2 linked regions of the Kluyveromyces lactis genome follow. The protein of the gene in region 1 interacts with the protein of each later gene in a pairwise test. Links are inferred from orthologs where the notes say so. Each region holds a gene or a part of one and is shown in the gene's direction. Other genes may lie near its edges. The genes, in order: PEX11 and PEX10.

The links.
Region 2: the proteins of PEX11 (region 1) and PEX10 interact in a protein complementation assay, tested with the Saccharomyces cerevisiae proteins (2 studies listed by BioGRID). The link is inferred for Kluyveromyces lactis from reciprocal best matches to the Saccharomyces cerevisiae genes PEX11 and PEX10.

Annotation. Positions count from the first base shown.
Region 1 is NC_006041.1:176,909-179,605, reverse strand, and holds PEX11 (Pex11p), read left to right. Parts: upstream 1-1,387; coding exon 1,388-2,092; downstream 2,093-2,697. Other genes in the region: DNA replication protein PSF3, read right to left, coding at 1-375; SPT20 (Spt20p), read left to right, coding at 2,615-2,697. UniProt on the Saccharomyces cerevisiae protein: Involved in peroxisomal proliferation. Promotes peroxisome division and biogenesis.
Region 2 is NC_006041.1:1,480,868-1,484,123, reverse strand, and holds PEX10 (ubiquitin-protein ligase peroxin 10), read left to right. Parts: upstream 1-1,834; coding exon 1,835-2,752; downstream 2,753-3,256. Other genes in the region: SHE4 (She4p), read right to left, coding at 1-1,619; E3 ubiquitin-protein ligase HEL2, read right to left, coding at 2,832-3,256. UniProt on the Saccharomyces cerevisiae protein: E3 ubiquitin-protein ligase component of a retrotranslocation channel required for peroxisome organization by mediating export of the PEX5 receptor from peroxisomes to the cytosol, thereby promoting PEX5 recycling.

The DNA of each region.
Region 1 (2,697 bases):
GACTTGTGATAGTTCTTTATCCGAGAACAGTGTGGCCCACTTCTCAGCCAGGGTGTAGAAATGAGGGCTAATTGAGTGAAGATCGAGACTAGTAGCACCAGATTTAATAGCGTTTAGTACTCTTGGAGCGAATAAATCAGGCGGGAGCAATTCGACAAAAGGAAGAGGTTCTTCAACTCTAGAATCTTCATTAGATTGCGCACCCACTACAGCAAGAAGATGGACCATCCAAAGTGGTAACTCTAGTTTTGCATTTTTCGATATTGGTCTGCCTGGGTTTCCCTCCAGATAACCCAACCCAGGAACGTCATAGTTGAATCTACAGGGAAATCTAGTACCATCAGCCAGTATATCATCTATATCATAGTATCCCATCTCGGCATAAATCTAAGGCGATTCTCAGGAAGCTGAACCGGCAAAATATAGGCTGGTATTTGGAATTGTAATCTTACTTTTGGCGTTTCTTCAATATGAGATATACAAATGCTTTAAATGATTTTAGGTTTGGGCTTGATGGCTCTAAATGTAAACAATAGAAAAGAACGCAGTATTATAAAGCAGAAGACATCGCTCGCTAGTTAACGATTCTTTTTTACGTGTTTCGCGATGTTGAGAGGAAATGCATCTCGATGATATAAATCACGTGATTGATGCTTGCACACTACAAAATCGTCATTATATCACTGTACACGATTCGCATACATGGCTTTCTCGTTGTCCCTTTTTTTTTTCTCGAGTTTCGGAACAAATCGGGCCATCCTTTTCAAGCTGTTAGCGGAAGGACATTTGGTCCGAAATACACGTAAAAATGTGCGCCTACATACTAAATATTATGTCGCCCTTTTTCCCGGGATCCCAGTCTTCACCTAGTAAGATTGCTATTGTTGCATGTCTTCCCCCGGTACAAATGTCCTTAATACAGCAGGATCTTCCGTGCTAGTAACTTCGCAGCTCTGACTTGTCCCTCCCATTTTTTGTGGGGGACCCGAAAGAAGTTGATAATAAAGTACGTTTCGCTGCTAAGTGGAAATCCTCTCCTTTTACCGTAGAGCCTGACTATTTTCTGTTGACCCTGCTTTGATCTATGCCCATTGACATATGAAGTATAACATCACACTTTATATATATATATATATATTTATATATAAAGTAGAAAATGACTGCTGAAAATAAAGACAAGCAGTTTTAAGCATTTTCACTACTCCTTGTATTCCTATCTCATCAGACTCTGTTGAAATACGTTGCACCTGCGATACAATCTCTCTCTAGTGCTTTGTTTGAATATACTGTTTCCAATATTCTACCTCCTTCAGAAATCAATTGAAATACTGAGCCAGTTATCCTGAGTCATCTTCCACATCTAAACTTATAAGTTTTACAAACAAAAATGGTTTTAGACACAGTTATTTATCATCCTACGTTGACCAAATTCATTTCTTTGTTGAATAAAACAGCCGGCAGAGAAAAGATCTTGAGATTGCTACAGTACTTGGTTAGATTCCTTGCCGTTCAATACAGATCTGGTTTGAATAGACAGTTACAATCTGAATTCACGTCTGTCAGAAAGATTTTGAGATTCTTCAAGCCATTGAATCATATCCAGGACGCAGCCAAATTATACGATAACAAGATTGCTCCAGATCAATGGGTTAGATGGTTGTCCATAATCAAAAATGTGGGTTATGTTGGGTATTTAACTTTGGATCAAATTAACTTGTTGCGCATCCTAAAGTTAATCCCAGCTACTCCTATTACTGCCAAGAAAGTTCCTCGTTACACAAACTGGTTTTGGTTCGTTGCGTTGATCGCTGGTTTGATCACCGATGTCCGTAAGTTGTACACTTCTCAAAGAAAGATCGAAGCCTCTTTGAGTTCTAAGGGCAATGCACCAACCGAAAAGGCTAGTTCTGAAAAGTTGACCGCTTACTACAATGAGAGATTCGCCGCATTCAGAAGACTAATCTGGGATTCTATCGATACTTTCATTGTCTTAAATAACTTGCAATTCTTGCGTAATGACGAATCAAGTGTCGCCCTGGCTGGTGTCGCTACATCCGTCTTTGGTCTACAAGATGTCTGGAAGACTGCTTAAAGGACTTCTCCTTCCCTTTAATTTAGTTTATATATATATATATATTTATATGTATCTTCTTTCAACTTAACATATTACTCGATATGTTGATAATTGTAATTTCAGCTGGTACCGGGATAATTTCTGATGATGCCTCCGTATTAACTAGATGTCTGTGCAGCTATTAGGATATACTATCACCATTGTTTCATCATTTTAATACCAATGTTACCCGCACTTGTTGATGTTTACACTTTTCGACAGGCTTCAAAGTTGAAATTGTTGAAAACTACTTGAAATTCCATTTCATCGAGGACATTAAGCGAGCACCATATTCGCGGCTACTCTTGCACTTCTATTCGTAATTCATTGCTTCTGCGGGATAACATCACCACTATTTTTATAGGTGGATATTCCTCAATTTAGACTAATCGCTTTGGGATTATTTCATTCTGTTCTTTTCATTGAAAAGCCGGTTGTTAATCTGATCTGGTATTCGAAATACAGCAGATTGTTAAAAAGACAAAAGAATTGAAAAAAAAAATGAGCACAGGCACTGGATATCCTCCCAGTCATGCAAAAACAGGAGACTCTCGTTCTATTCCTTCACAGCAACAAATGCAGGT
Region 2 (3,256 bases), about 1.3 Mb from region 1:
CTCTTAGGGTTTTCAAAGCAGAAGAACTTTGCAGAGATAGCCATTGGATTGGACATTAAATTGGAAATAAGTTCTAATGTCGATCTTTGAATTCTGACCGATGAATCCAATAAGAGATTCTCTATACTATCCCAATACTGAGCATTACTCAAGATGATTTTGCCGAGATCTACTCCCTGGTTTATAGTAGCCAAATTTGTCAACGCTAATAATGCTTCGTAAGTATCTAATTGTGTGAATTGAAGTTCCGATAAAGCGTTGTCATTTGGTAAAGGTAAATTTTCAAATAAGAACGGTGCTGCGCTCAACGGTGAATATTTGCTGAACGCAGTCTCTGGATTCACATAGATGAGTGTTTTCGATAGTGCTCTTATCGATAGAAGATACCATTCATCTTTAGAAAGGTTCCTTTTTTGTGCTAAAAATACCAAGAGCATCAATCCAGCACCCTGTTTCACACATTCTGATATCTGTGTTTTATCTCTTGTCACATTATATATGATTCTTATGGCTTGATTGTAAGATGAGGTGGATAGTTTTATCGATTTTAAAGAACCGATCAAGTCTAAATCGATAATATAATCACGGTTAAACTCTTCTATGTCCTTAACATTTTCCAATGTCGGCTCGTCATTCTTTTCTTGGTTGGTTTTCAATGAAGCTTTTAATTTATCGACTGTATCCTCATTCTGTGACGGGTGCTCACTTACGTTTGCTAATATAATCAAGAGTCCGTATAGATCAGTCGGTGTAGTGTCCTGTGACTTGATCAGCTCGATTATTTTCAAACATACATCACCGTTACCTCGTAGCAAGACTCTGACAGAGGGCTTCAATGTCAAGTAAGCTAAAGCTTCAGTATTAATCTCGATATTTTCGCCATTCGAAAGCGAGTCGATGAAAAGGTTGATGCAAGAGTTAAGAGTTTCCTTTTCTATCTTAGTGAATGACCAGATCTTGATCAAAACCAACGCAGTCAGTACTTTATACTTCTCGACCTTAAATGATTGTTGTAACGTCTTAAGGTAATGCTCTGCAATGAATCTTCTGACTGCTTCGTCAATACAGGAAACAGCCAAGAGACGAAGAGCCCCGTTTACAAGATGTTCATCATCCGCTGAAGAATTCAAATTCCTAGTCAATATGTCCTGGAAATCTGTCGAAAGAAACATGTCTCTACAAACGCCAAGGCAGATAGGGAACACCAAAGACATAGCATCTACAAGCAAACGTAAAGAAACATTGCCAGAATCTTCCTCGGCTTCAATTAACAATTGTTGTAGTATATTCCCACACTTCTGCTCCGTATTATCTGAATGGTTGGACATCAACGATTTCATCGTTACAAGAAGTAATGGCCGTATCTCTTGTATGCTACTTCTTAAAAGTATTCTTCTGCAAAGAAACTCCAATTGACCCCAATCCTTCACATAACCGGCAAGCATCGGCACACACTTCCAGCATCGTGTTTCCTCGCCATTGTTATGTATCTCTGAGGTCCAGTTTTGAATAACGTGCAACAAATCCGTCACGTCCTTCGGAGATGAACATCTTTCTTTCAATACACTTTGAGCATCGGCACTATCACTGCCAACAATTCTATCCCAAACTTTATTCATAGCGTTGATATCTTTATTGAATTACAAAAAGAATAAATTCACAGAATTGAACTATCGGTACCAGCCCAAACAACTGTATGTTAGATCGGGTTTAGTTATCTCTGGTTTCGAACCCTATGATTAATCAAATAAAACTTCATTTCTCCAATTGATCAATTTCAACCATCTAACATCTTCAAAAACGAATAAGAACACAAACTGACGAGAGACAAGCAATGGCACCAGACATGAAGTTCCCATTTGCTGATGCACCTAGTATAGTTCAGGCGCATCAAAAGGATGATACTGTGGAAAACTTGCTGTTACAAAAGATCCAGGATGTACTACGGAAAGTTAAGGGACAACAGTTCACTAACAGGTATGTTAGTGAGATAATGATCCTCAGCAAGTTGATATACTTGTCAATTACAACACTAAGGTATAGGAGAACGCTTGGAGAAGAGTACGTTGATTTGGCGTATGTTGATAGGCGAGGAAAAGGTGTTGCGAGACTCCTGCGAAGGATTGGTTTCGCTATCAGTTATTGTGGGGTACCGTGGATATTATCGAAAGTATTCTACAAGTATAAGCTCAATGAGAGGGGATCTGGTTTCTTGAAAGTATTCAATGGCAAGAGTTTCAGGGACATCTTGGATTCCACTTTGAATTTGCACTTAATTATATTCTACTTGAGCGGACAGTATTATGATATCTCAAAGAGAATATTTGGAATGAGATATGTGGTTGGCCATGAAATGAACAAGAATGAGGTAGAATTCAAGAAGAAGTCATCGCAAAACTACAAGATTCTTGGTTTTATACTTGGTATGCAATTAGCTTCTAAGCTTTTACCGCAGATTGCAGAATACATCGCTGACAGAATTGGAACAGATGATGGGAAGAGCCACAAGAGTTTAAGTGCATTAGCTAAAAAACACACCTCAAAAGATCTTAGCGATCTAGAAGTCCTACCTTTCATCAAAGAGGATTCACGTAAGTGTGTTTTATGTCTTAACTATATGCTGGATCCCAGCGCGACTCCGTGTGGTCACCTTTTCTGCTGGGATTGTATCATGGAATGGACGTTAGAAAGACAGGAGTGTCCATTATGCAGGCAAAGGTGTCCGAGACAGCTGACGATACCTGTTAGATAAAGCTTAGAAGAATATCTAAATGTTTCAGCGAGCTTTCTTGTATTATTAAAACAATCTGCTGTATATAACGGGGTTAAATCTATATGCCAATATGGAACAGTAGTTGTTTTTGTTTGCTCTTTTTCTTACTACCACTAGCTGGTAATGCATTGTCTAACGAATCCAAGTTGATAGAATCGTTGTCGTTTTGAGGCTTACCCCAAGTGGATGGGTTTGGTATGGTAGTCTGTTTCACTGGAGGTGCAACAAATTTTTTCTTAGTAGCTTGTAACTTGGGGAAGCTGGTTGGATTAGGTGATTTGATAGCTGTCACATTCGGTTGTGAATTCACTACAACGGTTGAAGAACCTGGCGGTGATTGATTCTTCTTCGCATAGTTTAAAGAAGTTGATGACGATGAATTGGAAGTCAAACCGCTCCTAATAACTGGAGAGGACGGTGAAGAAGAGCCATTTTTCCGCAAATTAGTATACGAGGCTTTGGAGGAGAATATAGGTTCGGATA